Linked DNA regions of Macaca fascicularis. The protein of the gene in region 1 interacts with the protein of each later gene in a pairwise test. Links are inferred from orthologs where the notes say so. Each region holds a gene or a part of one and is shown in the gene's direction. Other genes may lie near its edges.

Region 1 (3,377 bases):
AAAGTGCTGGGATTACAGGCTTGAGCCACCGCGCCCGGCCAATTTTTGTATTTTTTAGTAGAGACAGGGTTTCACCATGTTGGCCGGGCTGGTCCTGAACTCTTGACCTCAGGTGATCCACCCGCCTCAGCCTCCCAAAGTGCTGGGATTACAGGCGTGAGCCACCGCGCCCAGCCTGGTTGCCCATTTTTATAGTTATTTCTTGATAATACGCTAACCTAGGGGTAGATTATTCATGCCTCCCCTTTTTAGACCATAAGGGGTAACTTTGTGACGTTGCCATGGCAGTTGTAAACTGTCATGACGCTGGTGGAAGTGTAGCAGTGAGGACCACCAGAGTTTACTCTTGTGGCCATCTCGATTTGGGTGGGTTTTAGCCAGCTTCTTTACTGTAACTCATTTTGTCAGCAAGATCTTTATGACCCGTACCTTGTGCTGACCTCCTATCTCATCCTGTGACTTAGAATGCCTTAACTGTCTGTGAATGCAGCCCACTAGGTTTCAGCCTTATTTTACCCAGCTCCTATTCAAGATGGAGTTGATCTGGTTCAAACGCCTCTGACTCTTGGAAGGGGCGTGGGTGTCAGTGAAGGCATGAAGCGGCCCCTCCCTGACCTGGCCTGCTTTCTTCCTCCTCCTTCACTCCTGGGCCACCTGCAGTTGCTGGTTTGTCTTTTCAACAGACATTTCTGAGGCCCTCAGAGGTGCCGGGTGCGGGGGCCTCCTGTGTTTTCTGCACCTGATGCTTTCCTGCCTCTGTGGTGGTCATGTTCACAGACCTCTTCTCCCCCCCTTGTCATACCACAGGTGATTCTCCTAGGTCACTGGCTGCTGACAACCTGGTAAGTGACTCTGTGGGTATCTCTGTGTCTCCTGCGGTCTCAGGGTCTGTGTCAGCCGGGTCAGGTCCTGGCTCTGCCATGTTTTAGCCGGGTCACTTTGGGCCAAACAGCTGTGCCTCTCAGGTCATCTGTACAATAGGCATAAGGATTGCACACCCTGCAGGAGCTGGGAGGGAGATGAGGAAGAGTGCTCATCAGAGCTCCCCAGGGCCTGCCCCGCAGTGAGGCCTCAGCATTGCGGCTTGATTTTCACCTTTACCATCACTTTTAATCTGTTGAGCTTCTGGAGACATTTCTCTGCCAAACCAAGACTGGAAACCCCTGAGCTCACATGTGCACTTTGTAAACTTTGCAGTGCAGCACACAGGGCAACAGCTGTGAGTAATATGAACAGTAGCCATCATGGTTCACGACCTTGAGAAGCAGGGCCAAAATACAGATTTCTTAGTCACACTTCCCCAAGATTCTGAGTTGGTGATTCTGGGCTGGGACCCAGGCACCTGCTTTCTTTTTTTTTTTTTTTTCTGGAGACGGAGTCTCGCTCTGTCGCCCAGGCTGGAGTGCAGTGGCCGGTTCTCGGCTCACTGCAAGCTCCGTCTCCCGGGTTCACGCCATTCTCCTGCCTCAGCCTTCCCGAGTAGCTGGGACTACAGGCGCCCGCCACCTCGCCCGGCTAGTTTTTTGTATTTTTTAGTAGAGACGGGGTTTCACTGTGTTAGCCAGGATGGTCTCGATCTCCTGACCTCGTGATCCGCCCGTCTCGGCCTCCCAAAGTGCTGGGATTACAGGCTTGAGCCACCGCGCCCGGCCACCTGCTTTCTTAAAAGCAAAAAATAAGATGGTTTATTCAAAGACGTATTGAACCAAATGGCACTTCACACCTGCCTTGTACATGTCTTCTGCATGTTACACTGCAGTGAATGTCCCATAAATCTAGGAAGCATTGGTAATAAACGAAGTAGACTTGGTCCCTGTCCTTCTGAGTCGTCTTTGCAGCACAGCAGGGTGAGCAAGAGCATGGCCTCTCCAGCCAGACTCCAAATCCCAGGCTTACTGCTCAGCAGCTGTGTGACCTTGGGCAAGTTACTTAACCTCTCTGTGCCTTAGTTTCCTTATCTCTAAAGTAAGGATAACAGTAATACTGCCTTCCTAGGGTTGTTAATATAAATGCACATAAATGAGTTAATTTAAAGCACTTAGAACCATGCCAGGTACTAGCAAGTGATCTGTGTTCACTATGATTTTGATTGGATTGACAAGCAAATAAGTAAGTCAACAATGTCAGTTAGTGGCAATACCCTAAAAAAGATAATAGGGCGGAGCTTGTGTTAGGAAAATGACAAGGTTGTACTTAGCACTGGTGGGTGAGGGAAGGAGTCTCAGGGTGAACATTCAAGTTGCCACTGAATGACAAAAGGAGGGCCAGGTGTCAGGGTAGAGGGTGCCCGCCACACAGGGCAGTGGCTGGGAGGTCAGCAAGGGCGGAGCTGTGTCCAGGATCCCACGGGCCCCTTAAGTCCTGGTGAAGAGTCTGCATTTTATTCTAAATGGGACAGAAAACTGTTGGAGGATTTTTAGCAGAGGAGTGACAGCATCTGACTACATTATGGGTTGCTGTTTAGAGAACAGAGTGGCAGTCAGGACACTGGCACAGGGTGGCTGCGGCTGTCATCTGGCAGGAGAGGGAGGTGCTTTGGATCTACAGGGACACAGCCAGATCCAGGGTCTGAGTGGGAGGCAGAGCCCATAGGATTTGCTGGCACACAGCCAAGTGGCCTCGAAGACTATGGTGTGTTCTGGGAGGAGGCCCTGAGACCCCGGAGCAGGAGGGAGGTGACCTGTGGGGTGGTGGTCGCCTGACAGGACTGAGCTACCTCTTCCTACAGGGGCTGCATTGTATTCTCGGGCTCCTATGCCTGGGCCAACTTCACTGTCCTGGCCTTGGGTGTGTGGGCTGTGGCTCAGCGGGACTCCATCGACGCCATAAGCATGGTGAGCCAGGGTGGGGGAGAGGCGGCAGGGTGGTGGAGAGGCGGCAGGGTGGGGGAGAGGCGGCAGGGTGGGGGAGAGGCGGCAGGGTGGGGGAGAGGCGGCAGGGTGGGGGAGAGGCGGCAGGGTGGGGGAGAGGCGGCAGGGTGGGGGAGAGGCGGCAGGGTGGGGGAGAGGCGGCAGGGTGGGGGAGAGGCGGCAGGGTGGGGGAGAGACGGCAGGGTGGGGGAGAGGCGGCAGGGTGGGGGGCTGCAGCACAGGGTGAAGCACAGCCTGGCTCTGCCACCCCGTCCCGTCCCAATATTCTCCCTTTTCCTTGGGCTGCCACTTCCCATTGTCTAAAGCCTTGTTCATCAGCCTCCTGGGCTCCGGCCCATGCCTGTCTTCAGGAGCCCAGCCTGCTGCTCTTGTCTGGCTTAGAGAACCCCAAGTCTGCCATTATCTCCCCGAGGAAAGCCATGGGGTGGGTCCCACCGGTGCCTCAGATTAGCCACTTCGCCAGAGCGGCAGAACATCCCCTGTAACCTGCCCCTGGGGCTCTCTTTT
Region 2 (2,641 bases), on another chromosome or scaffold:
GTGGTGTTTTCTTAACTAATCACAGGCTGTTCCGACATGTTCCCCGCCCCTTCACTCTGCAGAGGGGCCTGCAGAAACTGGTCCTGAGGTGACACCACAGCTCAGCTCCCCAGCACCACTGTGTCTGACACTGCAGGAGAGGCTGCTGGCCTTCGAGCGGGACCATGTGACCATCCCAGCAGCCCAGGTGGCTTTGGCCAAACAGCTGGCTGGCGACATTGCCCTGGAGCTGCAGGCCTACTTTCGGAGCAAGTTCCCGGAACTGCCCTTTGGGGCATTTGTGCCTGGGGGGCCGCTGTATGATGGGCTGCAGGCAGGGGCCGCGGACCATGTGCGTCTCCTGGTGCCACTGGTCCTGGAGCCGGGCCTATGGAGCCTGGTGCCGGGCGTGGACACTGTGGCAAGGGACCCTCGCTGCTGGGCCGTGCGCAGGACTCAGCTTGAGTTCTGCCCCCGCGGGAGCAGCCCCTGGGACCGCTTCCTGGTTGGGGGCTACCTCTCTTCCCGCATCCTGCTGGAGCTACTCCGAAAGGCGCTGGCTGCCTCTGTCAACTGGCCGGCCATTGGCAGCCTTCTTGGGTGCCTGATCTGGCCCAGCATGGCCTCAGAGGAGCTGCTGCTCGAGGTGCAGCACGAGCGCCTGGAGCTCACCGTGGCTGTGCTTGTGGCAGTCCCTGGGGCCGATGCTGACGACCACCTCCTCTTGGCCTGGCCCCTGGAGGGGCTGGCGGGGAACCTCTGGCTGCAGGACCTGTATCCAGTGGAGGCTGCAAGGCTGCGAGCCCTGGACGACCATGACGCTGGGACCCGCCGTCGGCTGCTGCTGCTGCTGTGTGCTGTCTGCCGTGGCTGCTCGGCCCTGGGGCAGCTGGGCCGGGGTCACCTGACCCAGGTGGTCCTACGTCTGGGGGAGGACAATGTGGACTGGACGGAGGAGGCCTTGGGTGAGCGCTTCCTGCAAGCCCTGGAACTGCTCATCGGCAGCCTGGAGCAGGCCAGCCTGCCCTGCCACTTCAACCCCAGCGTGAACCTCTTCAGCAGCTTGCGTGAGGAGGAGATTGACGACATTGGCTATGCGCTGTACAGTGGCCTACAGGAGCCCGAGGGGCTGCTCTAGGTGGGTGGGAATGGGTGGCTGGCGTGTTTTCTAATGCTGGGAAGCTGCGCCCACCTCCCTTCCGGGGATTTGAATAGTGGTTTTTCTCTAGCTTTTAGCCAGAACAAAAGAGGGTACATTACTTAAACCCAGGGCATCGGGATGTGCTTGGGCTATGGTGGCCGTAAACCCTGAGCCCAGAGAGCTTGGGTCACTGTCACCTGAGTACGGCTGGGCTGGCTCAGGCAGCTTGGAGTGCCAGCCATTTCTGCAAGCACCTTTTCAGCCCTTGGGGCCAACCCCAGGACCTTGGCTCTGTCCATCACCAGCAACCAATCCACCGACAGAATGTGGTTTCTGCCATCCTGGGCAGAAGCTAAAGGCCAACTTCACATTTCTGCTGAGAGAAGGCGACTTACCGCCTTCTCCGGCCCCAGCTCCAGGCGTTTTGAGGCCTCTGGTGCCTGGTGGTAGGTATGGTGTGTTTGTTCTGTCCCCCGGGCACTGGAGTCACCTGGTGTCCCTGAATGACAGCTTTTTGGCTGTTAAAGGATGGCGTTTTCCTGCTGTCTTCTGTGCGTTTAGTTTTCTTGTTGTGTTCTCGAGCCCTGGAGCAGGAGCTCAGTGTGACTTGCTACCCACCTGATACCTCAGGGCAAGGCCCTTTTTCCCTCCAGCCAGGTGAGTGTTTTCTTCAAGCAGCTGAGGGCCCTGGGGGAGCTGAGGCTCTGTGCTGCGCCCCCAGCCCACAGCTGGGGCATATCACTGGAGCTCTTCCAGGCCCCACTGGAGAGCAGAGGGCCTGATCCCCCACCAGAGGGGTCCGGTGCGCAGAGCCGGCCTCCCAGTGTGCCAAAATGAACTGCTCTCAGCCGATGGCTGTATTCTGACTTTGAAGCCCGTTAGAGGTAGCAGGGGGGCTAGAGGAGGGAGATTCCACCTCCCTTCCCAAGTGATCCTCCTCCTGCCTCTGGTATCCTTCCTGCTGAAATGAAGCTCTGCTTCGAAGAGGTGAACAAGAATAAAAGAAAATTCTAACGTGTAACTCAGGCTGGATAAGGGGGTCTTGGCGCTTTCACACGTAGCTGTTGGGGGTTTTCTGTAAGTCCTGTGGCTTGTCCTGGCACTTAGGCAAGGGTGCTTGAGGTCAATTGGAGGTGGTAGAGTTTACTTTAAAAAGTAGCATCTTGGCCGGGCGCGCTGGCTCAAACCCATAATCCCAGCACATTGGGAGGCCGAGGCGGGTGGATCCTGGGGTCAAGAGATCAAGACCATCCTGGCCAACATGGTGAAACCCCATCTCTACTAAAAAGATAAAAATTAGCTGGGTGTGGTGGCGGGTGCCTGTAGTCCCAGCTACTTGGGAGGCCAAGGCAGGAGAATCGCTTAAATCCGGGAGGTGGAGGTTGCAATGAGCCGAGATCACACCACTGCACTCCAGACTGGCGACACAGCAAGACTCTGTCTCAATAAATAAATAAATTAATTAATTAATTAAAAAGCATTTTGGCCAGGTGCCGTGGCTCACGCCTGTAATCCCAGCAC
Region 3 (4,283 bases), on another chromosome or scaffold:
ACTTGGAAGTCAAGGGAAGGGAAGTTGTACCAAGGTATGTTTTTTTGTTTTAAAAAAGCTCCCCTCTGTTACAATCAGGATTCAGAACCAGTGTTCCGAAGGTAAAAATCTTTCCACATTATAGTTTTCTGATTATGTCAGACTCATTTAATACCAAGTGTGTTCGTTTTTATATCTCTGATTAGCAGGGTTTTTTTTTTCCCCGAGACAGTCTCATTCTCACCACACCCAGCTGTGGTTAACATATTGATTGATGCATTGTAGACCCTAAATTTGTGTTAGCGACCCCACAGTGGATCACTGAGTTAAAGTTTTATTAACAGTGCCAGAAACGGTGGCTGACGCCTGTAATCCCAGCGCTTTGGGAAGCCGAGGCAGGTGGATCACCTGAGGTCAGGAGTTCAAGACCAGCCTGGCCACCATGGTGAAACCCCCGTCTCTACTAAAAATACGAAGTTAACCTGGGCATGGTGGTGCATGCCTGTAATCTCAGCTATTCGGGAGGATGAGGCAGGAGAATCGCTTGAACCCCGGAGGCAGAGGTTGCAGTGAGCCAAGGTCGTGCCACTGCACTCCAGCCTGGATGACAAGAGCAAGATTCCATCTCAAAAAAACAAAAAAGTTGGCTAGGCACGGTGGCTCAAGCCTGTAATCCCAGCACTTTGGGAGGCTGAGATGGGCGGATCATGAGGTCAGGAGATCGAGACCATCATGGCCAACATGGTGAAACCCCGTCTCTACTAAGAAAATACAAAAAAACTAGCCGGTCAAGGTGGCGGGCGCCTGTAGTCCCAGCTACTTGGGAGGCTGAGGCAGGAGAATGGCGTGAACCCGGGAGGCGGAGCTTGCAGTGAGCTGAGGTCCGGCCACTGCACTCCAGCCTGGGCGACAGAGCGAGACTCCGTCTCAAAAAAAAAAAACAAAAAAAAAAAACGTTTTATTAACAAACTGTAGTTAGTTGTCCACCTGTCCTTAAACTTGCCTGTAACTTCTCCTTAACTCTAGGTTCTCCTTTTTGCTCCTAACCTTTGACGCTTCTTTTTTTCCACAGCTGTCATGGAAATGATGAGTCAGAAGATTCAGCAGCTGACAGCCCTGGGAGCAGCTCAGGCTACTGCTAAGGCCTGAGAGTTTTTGCACAAATGGGGCAGAGGGACACGGTTTTGGGCATGGCTTCCTGGTGCTGGGAAGGGTCTTGTGTTTAATGCCAATAAATGTGCCAGCTGGGCAGAATGTTGGTCTTTTCTTGGATTAAGCAAGGGACTGGTGATGAGATGGGGGGGTGGTCGAGAGTGTGGGCCCCGCCCCAGAGCCTGATGCACAGGGTTGATGCGGTGCTCCTCTTGAAGGCTCCACCGCAGGGCCCTTTGACCAGCTGGAAGAAATCCTAGGCTGGGTGTGAGCTGCTGCTCACTCTGCGGAGCTGGTTGCCAAGGCAACGGTTGGCAAGCGGAAGTGGAGCTCCGCTGGCGCTTTCCCTTCCGGGTCGGCCCTCCTGCCTCCCTACCGGGAGAGTCTTATGGGATACCGCTTCCTGCGCGGTCTTTTAACGCTGCTGCTGCCGCCGCCACCCGTGTATACCCGGCACCGCATGCTCGGCCCAGAGTCCGTCTCGCCCCCAAAACGACCCCGCAGCAAACTCATGGCATCGCCCCGAATCGGGACGCACAATGGCACCTTCCACTGCGACGAGGCACTGGCATGCGCACTGCTTCGCCTCCTGCCGGAGTACCGGGTACAGTCCGCGAAAAGTGACCCTGACACTGCGTGCATGCATGCCTCCAGGGTGGATGGCATTCCGCTGACAGGGTCCCTCCGATAGCGCGGGGCATCCCAAGCACCCTTCCTACCCGCCCTGTCTCCCTGAAGTCCAGCTTTAATCTCCTACCCGGCGACCTCTGGCAGCCCCTTCACCCCTGTGTACCTCGCAGGATGCAGAGATTGTGCGGACCCGGGATCCCGAAAAACTCGCTTCCTGTGACATCGTGGTGGACGTGGGGGGTGAGTACGACCCTCGGAGACACCGATATGACCATCACCAGAGGTAGGTTCTCAGATACCATTTATTTAACTTCCTTGACCTCAGCTTTCCTCTGTGCTCCAATTCAGCCATCCACTGCAGTGGTCCGCGTCAGCGAAAATAACTGCCTCATTGTTGAAATCAAACTTCCACTAGGACTACACCATCCTTCCGCCCTGCCTGTTCTTCACCCATCTCCTTGGCCTGGGACCTCCCTTGGTTCTCAGGGAGTCCCTCAGGCCCCTTATCTCATCTCCTTCCTTAGCCAAGGCTTTTTTCCCACCAGCGACTTCATCACCCTGAAGGGATGGCCTGCCCCGCCCCACCTGTGGGCGTTTCTTGTCAGATGGAACCAGAGACTTGAGAAAAGAAATGAGACACAGAGACAAAGTATAGAGAAAGAAAAAGTGGGCCCAGGAGACCAGTGCTCAGCATACAGGGGACCCGCGCCGGCACCGGTCTCTGAGTTCCCTCAGTATTTATTGATCATTATCTTTACTATCTTTTAGAAAAAGGAGAAGTGGCAGGACAATAGGGTCATAGTAGGGAGAAGGTCAGCAGAAAGACATATGAATAAAGATCTCTATGACATGTATAAGTTTAAGGAAAAGTACTGTGCCTTGATGTGCATATGCAAACATCTCCATAAACATTTTCAGTGCATAAAGAGCAGCATTGCGGCTAGCACGTCCCACCTCCAGCCCTAGTCCCACCGCCAGCCCTAAAACAGTTTTCTCCTATCTCAGTAAATAGACTATCACATGGGGAGAAACCTTGGACAATACCTAGCTTTCCTAGGCAGAGGTCTCTGTGGCTTTCCGCAGTGTTTGTGTCCGTGGGTACTTGAGATTAGAGAATGGTGATGACTTTTGACAAGCATACTGCCTTCAGGCACTGGTTTAACAAAGTACATGCTGCACAGCCCCAAATCCATTAAACCTTGAGTCACCACAGCACAAGTCTCTGTAAGGACAGGGTTGGGGGTAGGGTTACAGATTAACAGCATCTCAAGGCAGAAGAATTTTTCTTAGTACAGAACAAAATGGAGTCTCTTATGTCTACTTCTTTTTTTTTTTTTTTTTTTTGAGACAGTCTCACTCTGTCGCCCAGGCTGGAGTGCAGTGGCCGGATCTTAGCTCACTGCAAGCTCCGCCTCCCGGGTTTATGCCATTCTCCTGCCTCAGCCTCCTGAGTAGCTGGGACTACAGGCGCCCGCCACCTCGCCCGGCTAGTTTTTTTTTTTTTTTTTTTTTTTTTGTATTTTTTAGTAGAGACGGGGTTTCACCGTGTTAGCCAGGATGGTCTCGATCTCCTGACCTCGTGGTCCGCCCGTCTCGGCCTCCCAAAGTGCTGGAATTACAGGCTTGAGCCACCGCACCCGGAGTATGTCTACTTCTTTCTACATAGACACAGTAACAGTCTGATCTCTTTTCCCCACATCACCCCAACTAAATAAACCCATCTGTGATTAATCCATTCTGGTGCCCTTGCTGCTGCACCTAACTGCTGGGCCCACATGATTGTGGCAGTTCATGACAGTTCAGATGTGTGAGGTGTTCTACTTCATCTACACCCTTCCAAAGGGAAATCCTTCTTGCTCAAGGGTAGCCCATTCCAATCCTTTTCTTCCCCGTGAAGCCTCTACAGCATCAAACTGATCGTCCCTGCCTCTTCGCAAAAGAAGTTGAGCATTTCTGCAGTCTCCCACCTCAAACATCCTCAGCTCCCTCCTACCAGTTAAGGGAAATTTCTTCCCTTCTGTTGGAGGTTAATCCTCTGTCCTGTTTCCAGTCTATTACTTTCCTCTGGGATTCCTTTTTCTTTTTTTCTTTTTTTTTTTTTTGACACGGAGTCCCCCTCTGTCATTGAAGCTGGAGTGCAGTGGAACGATCTCGGCTCACTGTAACCTCTGTCTTCCAGGTTCAAGCAATTCAACTGTCTCAGCCTCCTGAGTAGCTGGGACTACAGGCGCCCACCACCACACCCGGCTAATTTTTGTATTTTTAGTAGAGACGGGGTTTCACCATATTGGCCAGACTGGTCTCGCATTCCTGGCCTTGTGATCCACCCCCTCTCGGCCTTCCAAAGTGCTGGGATTACAGGTGTGAGCCACCGTCAGCCTATCCTCTGGGATGTCCTGTCACAGTTCCACTAGTGTCTCTGCCTCTCCTTCTCTACAGCCTAAAACTCTTCTCAAGTGTCTTCTATCTTGAAAAGAAACAAAGGTATAAAAACAAAACCCTTCTTCAATTATACCACACCA
Region 4 (3,500 bases), on another chromosome or scaffold:
GATCACTTGAACGTGGGAGACAGAGGTTGCAGTGAGCTGAGTTCATGCCACTGCCACTCCAGCCTGGATGACTCTGTCTAAAAAAAAAAAAAAAAAAACTTTGTAATTTGGATGGTAAAGTACTATCTTCATCTCCACTAACAGACTGAAAAGGACTTCTCAGAGAAGCATTCGACCCTGGTGAATGACGCCTATAAGACCCTCCTCGCCCCCCTGAGCAGAGGACTGTACCTTGTAAGGTGATTTCCCAACCCTTTTGTGCATGAAGTCCTGATGCCCATTATGACATAGGACAGCCACGTCCCCTTTATTCAGCAGAAGAGTGCTTGAGGTCGGGCATGGTGGCTCACACCTGTAATCCCAGCACTTTAGGAGGCTGAGGTGGACAGATCACTTCAGCCCAGGAGTTCAAGACCATCCTGGGCAACATGATGACACCCCATTTCTACAAAAAATACCAAAATTAGCTGGGCATGGTGGCATACACCTGTAGTCCCAGCTACTCTGGAGTTGAAGCAGGAGGATCACTTGAGCCTGAGAGGTCGAGGCTACAGTGAGCTGTGATTGTACTACTGCACCCTCTCAAAAAAAAAAAAGAGTCCAGGGACCCAATAGTATTTAGCCTTACAGCACAAGTATAATTTTCTCTGTGAATATTACTTGCCTCAACAGCATTTTTTAAATTGTTATTTTCTAGCTTTTTTCTATGAATTTCAAGGATTTGATGTTGGTAGCTTTTAGTTAAAAGTCATTTTCTGTTGTGTTTTTTTTATTTTCCCCTCTCAAAAGTATCTTAAGAGGCCAGGCATGGTGGCTCACGCCTGTAATCCCAGCACTTTGGGAGGCCGAGGCAGGTGGATCACGAGGTCAGGAGTTCAAGACCAGCCTGGTCAAGGTGGTGAAACCCTGCCTCTACAAAAAATACAAAATAATTAGCCAGACGTGGTGGCAGGTGCCTCTAATCCCAGCTACTTGAGAGGCTGAGGCAGAGAATTGCTTCCCCAGGAGGCAGAGGTTGCAGTGAGCTGAGATCATGCCACTGCACTCCAGCCTGGGTAACAGAGCGAGACTTCATCTCAAAAAAAAAAAAAAAAAGTATCTTACAATCTAGAAAATTTTGTAATTGAATAGAATCTTTAGAAACATCTAGTTCAACCTCTGGGTGGAGGGATGACTACCCCAAGATCACACCAAGGTCACACAGTTTCAGGTAGCATTAAGTGGAAATCCCATTCCAGCATTTATGTTTCAGTCCAACCTTTTGATACCCCTTAGTCTTTCATTACTGGGACTGTTCCAGTTTTCTCTATTAGAGGTATTATTTCCTAACGGATGAGTAGGATTTAGATTACTCTGCCCATAGTTTCTTCAACTTATTTTTCTTGCTTTCTGCCCCAATAGCTAAAGCTCCATGGAATAGAGATTCCTGAAAGGACAGATTATGAAATGGACAGGCAATTTCTCATGGAAATAATGGAAATCAATGAAAAACTTGCAGAAGCTGAAAGTGAAGCTGCCATGAAAGAGATTGAATCCATTGTCAAAGGTGAAAGACAAAATAGCACCGAATGTATTTCATTGCTTGTCCAAGGATAAGTGAAAAATGAACGTAAAGAGTACATAATGGCCCAGGCACAGTGGCTCATGCCTATAATCCCAGCACTTTGGGAGGCCAAGGCGAGTGGATCACCTGAGGTCAGGCGTTCAAGACCAGCCTGGCCAACATGGTGAAACCCTATCTCTACTAAAAATACAAAAATTAGCCAGGTGTGGTAGCAGGCGCCTGTAGTCCCAGCTACTCGGGAGGCTGAGGCAGGAGAATGGCATGAACCCAGGAGGCAGAGCTTGCAGTGAGCGGAAATCACGCCACTGCACTCCAGCCTGGGCGACAGAGCGAGACTCCGTCTCAAAAAAAAAAAAAAAAAAAGGAAGGTTATTTACTTTAAGGAATTAGCTCACATAATTGTGGGAGCTGGCACATCTAAAATCTATAGGGTAGGACTGGGCGCAGTGGCTCATGCCTGTAATCCCAGCATTTTGGGAGACCGAGAAGGGCAGATCCCTTGAGTCTAGGAGTTCGAGACCAGCCTGGGCAATGTGGCGAAACTCCATCTGTGAAAAAAAAGACTAAAAAATCAGCCAAGCATCGACCGGGCGTGGTGGCTCACGCCTGTAATCCCAGCACTTTGGGAGGCCGAGGCAGGTGGATCACCTGAGGTTGGGGGTTCGAGACCAGCCAGGCCAACATGGAGAAACCCCGTCTCTACTAAAAATAGAAAATTAGCCGAGCATGGTGGTGCATGCCTATAATCCCAGCTACTCGGGAGGCTGAGGCAGGAGAATCGCTTGAACTTGGGAGGCGGGGCTTGCAGTGAGCCGAGATTGTGCCACTGCACTCCAGCCTGGGCAACAGAGTGAGACTCTGTCTCAAAAAAAAAAAAAAAAAAATCAGCCAAGCGTGGAGGTGCACACTTGTGGTCCCAGCTATCCGGGAGGCTGAGGTGGGAGAATCACCTGAGCCCGGGTGTCAGAGCTTGCAGTGAGCTGAGATCACGCCACTGCACTCCAGCCTGAGTGACAGTGAGACCCTGTCACAAAAAAATAAATAAATAAAATCTATAAGGTAGATAAGCAGGCTGAAAGTCTAGGCAGGATTTCTATGTTACAGTCTTGCTACAGAATTCCTTCCCAGAAAACCTGTTTTTGCACTTAATGCCTCTACTTGATTGGATGAGGCCCACCCACATTATGTAGGGTAACATCCATTACTTAAAGTCAACTGATTATAAATGTTAATCACATCTACAAATACCTTCACAGGATCATCTAAACTAGTTGGTTTTTGTTTTTTTGAGACATGGTCTCACTCTGTCACCCAGGCTGGAGCGCAGTGGTACAGTCACAGCTCACTGTAGCCTTGACCCATGGGCTCAAGCAATCTTCTCACCTCAACCTCTTGGATAGCTGGGACTACAGGCGTGCATCACCACGCCTGGCTAATTTTTTGTGTCTTTTATAGAGATGGGATTTCGCCATGTTGCCCAGGCTGGCTTTAAACTCCTGGGTTCAAAGCAATCCCCCTGCCTCAGTCTCCCAAAGTGCTGGGATTACAGGCGTGACTCAATGTGCCTGGCAAACAACTGGGCACCATAGCCTAGCCAACTTGACTCATCAAATTGACCATTCCACATATAAAAGATTCCAAGGTTCTCTGTTAGACTCTATTCATTACATACTTTCACAGATATTTGTAGTGTTCTACTACAAATATCAGGCACTGCGTATGACACTGAGGATACAGCATAGAACAAGAAAGACTGTGCCTTCTTGGAGTTTATATATGTCAACTGTGCCCAAAATGGATTCCCAAGTGTCTCCCCTCCCCACCTTTCCCCTAAAAAAAACCTGTTCCTCTTAGGCCGGGCGCGGTGGCTCACGCCTGTAATCCCTGCACTTGGGGAGGCCGAGGCAGGCGGATCACGAGGTCGGGAGATCAAGAC
Region 5 (3,965 bases), on another chromosome or scaffold:
GAGGAATTTGGTTTAGCTTTAATTAGTTGCTGTGAATATTTCTGAGCCAACTCTGGAAAGCATTTATCTGGAAAATAGTTTCCACTAAAATATAAGCTGGATACAGGGTATCATTTTCCTAGGAGGGTTTGTATCAGTTAACACAGTTATACATTCTCTCCAGCCCTCTGGATGACTTTTGCCACAAGCCCATCATCGTCATATTGGTTAATTACTTATTAATCACAATTCAAAATTCTATATTGAGGCATCTGCATCCCGATCCAAGTTCTAGCCTCAGGACCTCAGAGCATGAAGATTTTCCGGAGAAAAGATAACGCTTACAGGTTATTCTCATACAGGCAACTGATGCATTTTTCATCCGGCAAGTTTTCATAAAAACAAGCTGAAAAATACCAGACAAATGAAAAACAGACTTCAGCAGTTCCATGCTGCTTCCTGAGTAACTGAAGAATGTGCTTCTTGTGGTTAAAATGAGGGATCTGTTTAATATGGATGAAATAGCAACACTCCAGGCATTTTCATTGACATTTCACTGTGACTTTTTGAACTTAGGAGTGCGAATACGAAAACCTACTCTTTCTTTCTGCTGTGCGGAGCCTGCACAATCTGCAGAAAGATTGCAGAGCCGGGCCAGGCGAGGTAACAGGCTACGTGGGGTTCATGTGCTCTCTGGTTGTTCCCTCCCCCTGTTTGTACTTCATTTCCATTCACACGGCTGCACTTCCCAGTTTTCCAGGATCTCTCCTCTGAAACCAGGCAAGGGTTTGTTCCCAAATCCCACCCATTGCCTCTCCAGCCCTGGACTTGCTTACTGGACCACACATAGGTGGTGGGCATTGGTGACTTGTCCCTAGGGTCAGGGGATCAGAAACTGCCCAGAGGGGCTGGATGGAGCTCGGCGGCACTCAGGGCACAATGGAGAGCGGATTCAAAGGGCAAAGGAGCCGAGGGAAGCCCCTCTGCCCGAGCCTCCCCAGCGCCGGCCGGGCTCCGCTCCGGAGCAGCCCCGCCGTCTGGCAGAGACATGCTGTTTTGTTTAAATCCTCCACATTCTTTGCCATTTCCCCATTGGCCGGATGGGGCTACCCTCCCCGCCGCGGCCGCTGCTGATGTCAGCCTTGCTCGCGCTCGCTCTTCCCGCACCCACCTCCCGGGCCCAGGCACACTGCATCGGCGCGGACGCTCCGGCCCCGGCGAGGTGGCTGCAAACTCGCGGGCACGCACGGCGCCCGGGGAGCCAAGGGACTCGGGGGAGGGGACGCGCGCGGAAGGCGCCAGCTTCCTCCCGCCCGCCCCTAGCAGCCGCGAGCTGAGGTTGGAGGCGCCCGGGGCCCCAGCCGGGCAGAGCCGAGCGGCGGCTTCCCTTTTCTCCCCGAGCCGAGCCCCGGAGCGGCGCGGGGACCGGCCCTAAAAAGAGCAGGAAATCTTGTTTACCGCCCGCGGAGAGGAGCCGATCGAGCCTTTGTCTGGAAAGTCAGCATCTCCGGCTCCGGCTGCAATGTGTTCCTGGTGACATTAGCATCGGGCAGACCCGCCGGAGGAGGGGGTTCGCCAGGTTCCCTTCTGCTTTCGGAGGCGGATCGAGCGGGTGACTTTTGTGCATTCGTTTTAATTTTTGGAAATCTCTCTTTTTTCCTCCCTCGCTCGCTGCCGGGCATGTCCTGATCTGGCGGCCGCTCCTACCACCCTGGGCTGCCGAGCAGAGCCGTCACCAGCGGGTCTCCCTCCCTACCTCTCTGACTTTGCAACACCGCGTTCTGGGAGGACCGGCCTCGGCGAGGGAGGAGGCGGAGGAGCTGCGAACACCCGGACCCAAACCCTGACATGCTCTGGGGCGGAGAGGAGGAAGCCAGGAGCTGAGCTTGCCGCGGGGGCTGCTTCGCCCGCCGGCTACGAGCGCTGGGCTCCGGGCGCCCTGCCCTGCGCCTGGGCGGCAGCCTTGCTGGTCTGGAGGGCGCCCCCAGCTTCCCGCCCCGGGGATCCGCGGCCGGCAGGACCATGCTGCTGAAAGAGTACCGGATCTGCATGCCGCTCACCGTAGACGAGGTAAGCGCCGCGCCCGGCCCGGCCTCGCCCGCTCCGGGACCGCCGCCGCCGCCGCCGCCTCCTGGCCGGCGAGCCCCGGGCTAGCGGCAGGAAACCCAGGTGGACGTTACCCCGCAAGCCCGAAGGCTGGAGGAGAGGAGGAAGGGGATTTGCGGCTTCCACTTGTCACCCCAGCGGGGGAGGGCGGCGTTGGGTGGGGCGGCGGACTCCGGGTGGGCTCTTTGGGGGCGCCCAGAATCCAGACTGTTGGGGATCACAATGAGCCAAAGGGAGTGGGTGCGCCCCCTCCTTCCAAATAAGAAAACGAATAAAGCAAACCCAAGAGCCCCCGGCGCGCGCTGTAGCTAGGGTTTGGGGGGCACCCCGTCCTGGCCGTGGGCCCATCTTCCCCTCCCCGCCCTCTGCGGTCAGGTCGGGGTGCAAGGAGGAGCCTTGCGCCCTCGGGATCTGCACGCCCAGAGCCCCGCGGGGGGCACCTCGGAGCCCTTGGGGGAGGTCCCTGCGGGGCCCGACTTGTCGCCGTCGCCGCGGTCTTGGGCGCCGCTCCCGGCACGTCCGCCCTTCGAGGCTCGGGACCCGGCTCTGTCCTTTCGCAAACCGCCTGGCTCGGAAACTTTCTGCGTCTCTTATTTCTTCCGCCGCGGGGAGCGTGGTCGGCCCGCGAGCCGGGAGCGGCTGAGGCTGCGACGCGGCCACAGGAGGGCGCTCCAGCACGTGGTGCCGGGGCAGCGGCTGCCGGCTGGGGGCGCCGGGCGCGGGGCGGGGGCTCGTCCTCCAAGCGCGGCTTTGCTGCCCTTTTCCCGAACCTGCGAAGCCACGAGCCCCAGCATTCAGGAAGTGGTGACTCAGACTGGATTATTCCAGCCCTGGCTTCCCTTTCTTCCCCTTCTTCCTGCCCACCTTTGTGGTGATTTCACGACTGCTGAGCGCCTCTGTCCAGGGACAGCGAGGGAGCCCAAAGCCAAGCACGGCAACGTGAAACTCACTAGTATGGTTTGGTGTGGCAACACACATGAAATCAGCCACCCACACCGTCTTTATATTTAAATCTGGTGCCTTGAAACTATCAGATATGTTATTGAGCCACCACTTGGTGAGAGGGGCGATGCGCTTTGGGAGAGAAAAAGATCCTTAACTGAGAACGTGGCTGTGCTCACAGGGGCTGTCCGTATTTGCCATCTGGACCAAGGGTTAAGGCAAGACCCAAGTACAATCCAAGACAAAATCAAAGTAGCTGCAAGTTTACAAAACGCATCAGGGGTACACAGGCTGCCAAGGAGGGAGAGATCAGCTTCCACCAGAATGATCAACCGAGTTTTGGAGTTCTTTGGCATTTGAGGAGGTAGCATTTAAGTAGGGTCTGGAAGGGTGGATGCCAGATGGGTAGACAGAGATTCAAGTTGCATATGACCTTGTAAGTGGAGAAGCAGGACATAGCTTTGTGGAGAAAGCGAAAGGCAAATGAATGGGACTGGTTAATAGGTCTTTCCAGAAAAGGTGGATATCGTCCCACCTTCTGGGCAGTTGAGCTAGAGTAATTCACCTGGGAGGCGTGGATCCCTCTACTCTATCTCCTAATGACCTTGTTTTTTGATATGAGTTTGGATTCTAGGAGCAATGTTGGGACTGCATGGAATACACAGAAAATTGCAGGTGATAATCAAGAAAAGAACCAGTTCTAGAAGCTTCTCTACTACCTACAAAATCTCTTTATCCTAGTTAGTTCCCTTTTCAGGCTTTCTGAAACACTCAGGCAGATGCTTTTCCCACTTTTGTTTTTGTACCGAAATATCCACAGGTATAACATGGGGTAATTACATTTGAATGATATAGGTGGAGGCCCTTCCTTCCGTCCGTCCGTCCGTCCTTCCTTCCTTCCTTTTTTCTTTTCTTTTTTGTTTTTTTGAGATGGAACC
Region 6 (3,500 bases), on another chromosome or scaffold:
GCTCACTGCAACCTCCGCCTTCTGGGTTCAAGCAATTCTCCTGCCTCAGCCTCTCAAGTAGCTGGGACTACAAGCACACACCACCACGCCTGGCTAATTTTTTGTATTTTTAGTAGAGACGGGGTTTCGCCATGTTACCCAGGCTGGTCCCAAACTCCTGAGCTCAGATAATCTACCCACTTCGGCTTCCCTAAACGCTGGGATTACAGGCATGAGCCACTGTGCCTGGCCTCATATGTTTTAAACTCATATCCAGTCATCTTACAGGGTTGGCTCCATAAAGGAGACAGTTTAATTTTCCTTAGAATTAGCATATTCTGGCTGGGTATGGTAGTTCGCACCTGTAATCCCAGCACTTTGGGAGGCTGAGGTAGGCAGATTGCTTGAGCCCAGGAGTTCGAGACCAACCTGGGCAATGTAACAAGACCCTGTCTCTACAAAAAAATACAAAAATTAGCCAGGCATGGAGGTGCATGCCTGTAGTACCAGCTGCTTGGGAGGCTGAGGTGGGAGGATTGCTTGAGCCCAGGAGGTTGAGGCTGCAGTGAGCCGTGATAGCACTACTACACTCCAACCTGGGTGACAGAGAAAGACCCTGTCTCAAAAAAAAAAAAAAAAATTATATTCTACAGTGGCATACCTGTAGTCCCAGTTACTGTGGGGGCCAGCTGGGACTAGCTAGTAAGACCTCATCTCTTAAAAAAAAAGAAAAATTATCATATTCCAACCAGAGTTAGGTATGGACCTTGTTCCCTGACCTGTTAATAGAGATGTAAAGCTTCAGTAAGTCTGACACCCAGAGGGTATCTCCATTATTCTAAATATAGTGATTGTTGGGCTAGGTGTCATGGCACGCGCCTATATTCCCAGCTATTCGGGAGGCTAGGGCGGGAGGATTACTTGAGCCCAGGAGTGAGGCTGCAGTGAGCTGTGATCGTGCCACTGCACTCCAACCTTGGCAACAGAGCAAGACTCTGTCTCTAAAAACAATAAATAAATAAAAATAAAAAGATATAGTGATAGCTCTAGTTAAGACTCATATTCCGTTGATGTTATCTTCCTTTTTCTTTCTTTCTTCAGGATCTACAGTCTTTGCAGAAATTCAGGGGGTCATTGATGCTTGCATTAAACTATCTGGAATGCCCGATCTCTCCCTTTCTTTCATGGTAAGTTTTATTCTCCTGTTTTATAGCCCCTTGAATGCCTAATACATGTGAAGTACTAAATGAAATGATAAATATTGAGATAAGTTTGCATCTTAGATTGCAAAGGATTGTCTCAGAAATATTCCTAGCAGAGTTTCCTAAGACAGGCACTTACATGATGAGCGTGGTCTTTATGGAAAGGCTAAGGGAGGTCTTTGCCTGAGTGTGCTAGAAAGGGCTTAAAATTGGCTGGCTGGCTTCTGCAAATATCCAGTATCATTTTTACTGAGTAATTATTTGCTTTGCTGATATGAAAGGACATTGGTCTTTTGTATCATTTTAGAGTCAGCATGACATACTGCTAGGAACAATTAAGAGAACTGACTTCTGGTGTTGTCACCAGTTTGTTCTGACCTTAAGTCCTCTGAACCTCAGTTTTTTAATCTGTTAAAGGGAAATAATACTACTTGCCTTTTCTCCTTTATGGTTATTGAAATTCAATAAAATAATGTACATAAAATATTTACAAACTTTAAAGCATTGTGAAACTATAAGGTTGTGTAGATGTGGTCATAAACTCTTCCATGACTGCTTTATCTTCAGGGAACATATTGATTTGTCAAGGTATCTAAGTACAGTTCCCATATTCATTATGCTCTATGAACACGGCTGTCTTCTGTTTTCTTGACAGAACCCTAGGCTTCTGGATGACGTCAGCTTCCACCCCTGCATCCGGTTCAAGCGTTGGGAATCTGAAAGAGTTTTGTCATTTATTCCTCCAGATGGAAATTTCCGACTCATATCATACCGTGTCAGCTCACAAAAGTATGTTGATGCATCAGCCAGAATCTGCCATCATACATATCAAGCAGAACTCACCTTTCCCTGTTCCTTTATGACAGTTGAGTACTTGAGGTCGTCATTGCTCACTTTAACCATAGCTCACCGGGAGACCCAGTGAGAACTGGTGAAAATACGCACCTAAAATATCAGTATACTTTGAATGTATGAGTGTAGAGTGGTACTAAGTGAGACTAGAGTAAAATCTATAGCCAAGGGCAAGCAAACCATGCATAACCTGGGCAAAAGGTTTTGGTACTGGTTCTTTGCAAGGTTACGCATTGTCAAATTATGGCGCTGGTTCTTTGCTCAGGTTATGCACGGTCCATTTTGCTCTGCTTCTGACAGCTGAGTACTTTGCAAGCAGAGCAAAATGGACTGTGCATAACCTGGGCAAAACCATGAACCACTGCCATAATCTTACCATAGTCTGTAGACTTTGTGGCTAACAAGGAGACAGACCTACCTGTAGTTCGTGAGGACATTCCCAAACTTACCTGCTTCAAGTCAGTCTTCTCTGCTTCGAGGTTTTAAGGAACTGTTTAGCATTGAGAGCCGGGTGCAGTGGTTCACTCCTGTAATCCCAACACTTTGGGAGGCCAGTGTGGGCAGATCACTTGAGGTCAGGAGTTCTAGACCAGTCTGGTCAACGTGGTGAAACCTTGTCTCTACTAAAAATACAAAATTAGCCAGGCGTGATAGCGTGTGCCTATAATCTCAACTACTTGGGAGGCTGAGGCATGAGAATCACTTGAACCTGGAAGGCAGAGGTTGCAGTGACAGATCATGCCACTGCACTCCAGCCTGGCCAAGAGGGTGAAATTGCATCTCAAAAAAATAAAAAAAAATTTAGCATTGGGGATCGTAGTTTTATAGCTAGTTTGTTTCTTGAAAATACCAGAAGTTATTTGAGTAACATTATGACAGGACTCAAAAGCAGACAAATTATTTCTTGGCTCTTTTTTTCTTTGAACCGGAGTTCGGCTCTTGTTGCTCAGACTGGAGTGCAGTGGTGAAATTTTGGCTTACCTCAACCTCCACCTCTAGGGTTCAAGTGATTCTCTGCCTCAGCCTCCCAAGTAGCTGGGATTACATGCATGTACCACCACGCCCGGCTAATTTTGTGTTTTTAGTAGAGACAGGGTTTCTCCATGTTGGTCAGGCTGGTCTCGAACTCCCGACCTTGGGTGATCCGCCCACCTCAGCCTCCCAAAGTCCTGGGATTACAGGCGTGAGCCACCGCACCCAGCCTGTTTCTTGACTCATCACATAGGAACTGTTTTCATTTATATAAAACATATTTTACATTATTTTTCAGTGGGATCGTAATTCATTTTTTTAAACTAGGGCCATTTGCCCCAATTGTTTTTTTTTTGTTTGTTTGTTTTATGTTTTTTTGGTTTTTTTGTTTGTTTGTTTTGAGACGGAGTTTCACTGTTGTCGCCCAGGCTGGAGTACAATTCTGTGATCTTGGCTTATGGCAACCTCTACCTCCTGGGTTCAAGTGATTCTTCT
Region 7 (4,058 bases), on another chromosome or scaffold:
CTGCCCCAACCCCACAGAAACTGAAGTGTGTGGACCCTCCCTAGGAACCGGGGTTCCAGGGAGGATTTGAGGTCACGCTCAAGATCATAAAGAGGCTCAGCGTGGACTCCTTCTCATGACCAAAATGGAGCCAGAGTTCCCAGATAAGGGCAAACGTCACCTCAGGCCAGGCTCCACTCTCAGCCACCCCTTCTGCCTGGCAGAGTTCACTTCATCTCCTCCTGTCAGGAGAGGGGAGGTCACACTGCCAGGGCCTTTGCCTCATTCTTCTCCAGCTCCTTCTCTAGAGGAAGAGTCATGGCTAGCCCGAGGCAGTGTGGACCTGGAACAGGCATAAACTGTGCTACTCTTTGGTGCCCAGTGCCACCTTTCCTAGCCAGGAGCAGAGCAGGATTATCACCTTCTGTGTCCCGCAGCTCGGCCGTGTCTTAGTACCCCACCCACCCCTGGAACTCAGGAACCCTAAGGAGGGGCATAGGGTTGCTTTCCATTCACGCCTAGGGCAGCACAGGGAACTGTGCCACAGGCCCCAAGACAGGCAGATGGAGGATGAAATACACAGGTCCCAGTCCCTGAGGCCACCTTACAGTGCCCGGCCCCCAACCCTGTGAAGAAGGTCAAGGCAGAGGCAGCAGAGGAGGGATGGGAGGATGCCTCGTGTGAGATGGGGTACAACTGGTGTCCCTTCTGAAGCTGACATCTGGCCTCAGCTACGACTCTGGCGCCAGCGGGCTCGCAGGGGGCTCACCCGTGACACCCTTTGTCCCGGCTGCCTCCCCACCCCTGCGGGCCCTCTGCTCCAGCTGGCATGCCTCAAGGGCGCTTCGCGCCTGCTCCTTTGGCCCCTGGCTTGCAAGCAGCGGGGCCAGCACGTGACCCGAGCGCTAAAGGGGGCAGGGGATGGACGGATCTTGACCTTGCCATCTGGCCCCTCTGGAAAATCAACAAACGTTTGCGCCTCTAACATCCAGGCCCCTGAGAATGGTCGCGAGGAAGATCTGTCTCGGACTGCAGCTGGGGCCTTCGGATCCAGAGGAAACCAGGGCTATTCTTCGAGGGTAGGAGGGGGAGGGTCGCGGGGTCCGCGGGGAAGGTGGCCCCGCGCGAAGTCGCCACCGCCGCGCCTCGCCCCGCCCCGCCGGCCGAGACCGAGTCCGCCGCACCCCATAGGCAGAGGCCACCCTCCCCGCCTCCCCGCCTGCTCCGCGCCCGCCCCGCCCCGGCTCACTTTAAAAGTTTACTCTGGCCGGGACGCTGGGCGATGCGAGCCACTGCAGCCTACGTCGGGATGCTGCGCCTGGGGAGAATGTGCGCCGGGAGCCCGGGGGTGCTGGGGGCCCGGGCAGCCCTCTCTCGGAGTTGGCAGGAAGCGAGGTTGCAGGCTGTCCGCTTCCTCAGGTACTGACCCCCCGCGGGAAGAGAGGGGGCGGGGCAGTTCCCTGGGAGAGGAACTTGGAGGTCCTGCCGAGCTTCGGAAGCCCCACCTCTGGACGAGTGCACCGGGGGGAAGGTACCCGCCCCTCACCCGCCCCCTACGAGCACCTAGGCAATAGGAAAAGCTGGCTTGGCCTGGTGGACTTGGCAGGGGGCTTTGGTTGGTGGCTGCAGGGACTTCGAGTTCTGGTCCAAGACTCTCGATTCTTTCTCCTTTATGGGCACAGAGGGCAAGGAGTGTGGGCTTTAAGGAGAATATTCCGATGGGGAGGGGCCAGGGCCAAGGCCTGGGCTGTACGCCCAGGCCACTGCCTCTGAGTTGGAACCCCTGCATGGGCAAACTTGGGGATCAGCCCCATTCTCCCCGACCCAGGCCACTAAACTTAGCAGTCTCCTCTCTCCTCATCAGCTGCTCACTAACATGGCTTTTATTCTTTGCTGCCTGCTCCTGGGCCTATTTTCTTCTATCCTCAGTGCAAGGGGTGGGATGGAAACTGGCAGAGGATTTCAGTTCCCAGTAGTTTCACTGCCTCTGCAGCAGCACAGTAAGTAAAGCTGCCTTCCGGCGCGACCAGTCCCTGGGAGGACCGCCTGAGATGGCAAATGTGAAAGTGCTTGAGTCATAGAGAGCAGGCTGCCACCAATGCTATCAGTGCTGTTAGCTTCAGCAGCACCACTGGGGAGCCCTGTGCACCACTGAGCCTGTCCTACCACTCAACTAGGCCAGATACTAAGTCAGTGGTCAGGACACCACTTTCAACAACATCAGATGGGGTGTGGGTCTGGACGTGGAAAAAGGAGAAGTCAGAACAAAGCTGTGTCTCAGAGAACTAGATTTGTTTTTGTTTTTAAAAAGGCTAAGCAGGAAGAGTTGGAGGGACATGCAGACTCCTTTTTTGCTGGAACTCCGAGATCACAGTTTTTGAACTTGCTGATTCCTGAATGCTAGAAAGCATGCAACGCCTTAACATCACTCTGCCTAATTTGCTGAGAAAACTAAGTGGATCAAGGCTGGTCAGTAGATGGGACTGAGATGAGGACAGTGGGGTCCTCTTCCCAGTGACCCTGGGAAGTCACTCACTACTTCCCAGGGTCTCCCTAGACAAGTTCAGCCCTCCCCTGATCCCCTAGTCTCTTAAGCCTCTCCTCTGGACTCATGGGTGCCCCCTCAGGCTGGGAGGACTCTAAGGAAAGTTACTCCCCACCGTGTGCATATTTTATCATACTAAATCAGACCAAAGGGGAGTCTCTCAGCCTACTCTGGCTCAGGAGGCTGCCTAATACAAAACAAACAAAGTAATAAATAAATAATAAATCAGGCCACATGGCAACATTCCTGACCTTTGACTTTTTTGTCTATAAACAAAATAGGTCACTTACCTGCTACAGCCCTGAGGCCTCTGAGAGCACCAAGCTTCAGAGAAATTCTTATTGCTGTGTCAGGAGGAGACTCGTTTATCCAGAGAGATGATTTTCTGAGTGTTTGGCCTACCTCCTTTCTGCCCCTTCCACTCCCTTGTGCTTGTACCCTTATTGGCTAACTGTGGTGGTTTTACCTGATTTCTCTCCTACTTTCCACTTCAGAAGCCTCAGGGCTCAGGCCGGGCATGGTGGTTTATGCCTGTAATCTCAGCACTTTGAAAAGCAGAGGTGGTAGGATCACTTGAGCCCAGGAGTTCAAGGCTGCATTGAGCCATGATCATGCCACTGTACTCTAGCCTGGGCGGCAGAGCAAAACCTAGACTCAAAAATAAAAATAAAGGCTGCGTGGGTGGCTCATGCCTGTAATCCCAGCACTTTGGGAGGCCCAGGCGGGCGGGTCACTTGAAGTCAGGAGACCGGTTTGGCCAACATGGTAAAACCCCGTTTCTACTAAAAATACAAAAATCAGCCAGGTGTGGCCTGTAATACCAGCTACTAGGGTGTCTGAGGCAAGAGAATTGCTCCAACCTGGGAGGCGGCGATTGCAGTGAGCCAAGACTGCACCACTGCACTCCAGCCTGGGTGACAGAGCGAGACTCCATGTCAAAAAAATAAAAAATAAATAAAATAAAGGCCAATCATGGTGGCTTAGTCCTGTAATCTCAGCACTTTGGGAGGCTAAGGTGGGTGGATCACTTGAGGTCAGGAGTTAGACCAGCCTGGCCAACATGGAGAAACCCCATCTCTACTAAAAATACAAAATTGGCTGGGCACGGTGGCACATGCCTGTAATCCCAGCTATTAGGGAGGCTGAGGCAGGAGAATCGCTTGAACTTGGGAGGCGGAGGTTGCAGTGGGCTGAGATCATGCCATTGCACTCCAGCCTGGGCAACAAGAGCGAAACTCCGTCTCAAAAAAAAAAAAAAAAAAAGCCAGACGTGGTGGTGCATGCCTGTAATCCCAGCTACTTGGGAGGCTGAGGCAAGAGAATTGCTTGAACCTGGTAAGTGGAGGTTGCACCACTGCACTCCAATCTGGGTGACAGAGAAAGACTTCGTCTCAAAAAAATAAAAATAAAATAAAAATAAAAAAAGAAGCCTCAGGGCTGAAACCATCAGCAAACATTCCTGAGAACAGATTCTGTGTCAAGTGCCTAGCACGTGCAATGGATATAGAGGCCACAAAACTCAGTCCTCACCCTG

What was found.
Region 2: the proteins of AGTRAP (region 1) and MIEF2 interact in binary tests that used the Homo sapiens proteins (3 or more experiments, as listed by UniProt). The two-hybrid records come from large-scale screens. The link is inferred for Macaca fascicularis from reciprocal best matches to the Homo sapiens genes AGTRAP and MIEF2.
Region 3: the proteins of AGTRAP (region 1) and MYG1 interact in binary tests that used the Homo sapiens proteins (3 or more experiments, as listed by UniProt). The two-hybrid records come from large-scale screens. The link is inferred for Macaca fascicularis from reciprocal best matches to the Homo sapiens genes AGTRAP and MYG1.
Region 4: the proteins of AGTRAP (region 1) and HSCB interact in binary tests that used the Homo sapiens proteins (3 or more experiments, as listed by UniProt). The two-hybrid records come from large-scale screens. The link is inferred for Macaca fascicularis from reciprocal best matches to the Homo sapiens genes AGTRAP and HSCB.
Region 5: the proteins of AGTRAP (region 1) and PITPNC1 interact in binary tests that used the Homo sapiens proteins (3 or more experiments, as listed by UniProt). The two-hybrid records come from large-scale screens. The link is inferred for Macaca fascicularis from reciprocal best matches to the Homo sapiens genes AGTRAP and PITPNC1.
Region 6: the proteins of AGTRAP (region 1) and AP3M1 interact in binary tests that used the Homo sapiens proteins (3 or more experiments, as listed by UniProt). The two-hybrid records come from large-scale screens. The link is inferred for Macaca fascicularis from reciprocal best matches to the Homo sapiens genes AGTRAP and AP3M1.
Region 7: the proteins of AGTRAP (region 1) and ACSF2 interact in binary tests that used the Homo sapiens proteins (3 or more experiments, as listed by UniProt). The two-hybrid records come from large-scale screens. The link is inferred for Macaca fascicularis from reciprocal best matches to the Homo sapiens genes AGTRAP and ACSF2.

The regions. Positions count from the first base shown.
Region 1 is NC_088375.1:223,063,033-223,066,409, reverse strand, and holds part of AGTRAP (type-1 angiotensin II receptor-associated protein), read left to right. Parts: intron 1-807; coding exon 808-842; intron 843-2,728; coding exon 2,729-2,834; intron 2,835-3,377. UniProt on the Homo sapiens protein: Appears to be a negative regulator of type-1 angiotensin II receptor-mediated signaling by regulating receptor internalization as well as mechanism of receptor desensitization such as phosphorylation.
Region 2 is NC_088390.1:18,393,063-18,395,703, forward strand, and holds the end of MIEF2 (mitochondrial dynamics protein MID49), read left to right. Parts: intron 1-62; coding exon 63-1,117; 3' UTR 1,118-2,141; downstream 2,142-2,641. UniProt on the Homo sapiens protein: Mitochondrial outer membrane protein involved in the regulation of mitochondrial organization.
Region 3 is NC_088385.1:60,099,172-60,103,454, forward strand, and holds the start of MYG1 (MYG1 exonuclease), read left to right. Parts: upstream 1-1,483; 5' UTR 1,484-1,519; coding exon 1,520-1,735; intron 1,736-1,931; coding exon 1,932-2,044; intron 2,045-4,283. Other genes in the region: PFDN5 (prefoldin subunit 5), read left to right, coding at 1,052-1,128. UniProt on the Homo sapiens protein: 3'-5' RNA exonuclease which cleaves in situ on specific transcripts in both nucleus and mitochondrion. Involved in regulating spatially segregated organellar RNA processing, acts as a coordinator of nucleo-mitochondrial crosstalk.
Region 4 is NC_088384.1:22,920,497-22,923,996, reverse strand, and holds part of HSCB (iron-sulfur cluster co-chaperone protein HscB), read left to right. Parts: intron 1-144; coding exon 145-234; coding exon of another isoform or gene 235-239; intron 240-1,401; coding exon 1,402-1,546; intron 1,547-3,500.
Region 5 is NC_088390.1:73,801,751-73,805,715, forward strand, and holds the start of PITPNC1 (cytoplasmic phosphatidylinositol transfer protein 1), read left to right. Parts: upstream 1-1,165; 5' UTR 1,166-2,001; coding exon 2,002-2,049; intron 2,050-3,965.
Region 6 is NC_088383.1:72,311,117-72,314,616, forward strand, and holds part of AP3M1 (AP-3 complex subunit mu-1), read left to right. Parts: intron 1-1,080; coding exon 1,081-1,166; intron 1,167-1,836; coding exon 1,837-1,970; intron 1,971-3,500. UniProt on the Homo sapiens protein: Part of the AP-3 complex, an adaptor-related complex which is not clathrin-associated. The complex is associated with the Golgi region as well as more peripheral structures.
Region 7 is NC_088390.1:56,282,340-56,286,397, reverse strand, and holds the start of ACSF2 (medium-chain acyl-CoA ligase ACSF2, mitochondrial), read left to right. Parts: upstream 1-1,258; 5' UTR 1,259-1,261; coding exon 1,262-1,398; exon of another isoform or gene 1,399-1,403; intron 1,404-4,058. UniProt on the Homo sapiens protein: Acyl-CoA synthases catalyze the initial reaction in fatty acid metabolism, by forming a thioester with CoA. Has some preference toward medium-chain substrates. Plays a role in adipocyte differentiation.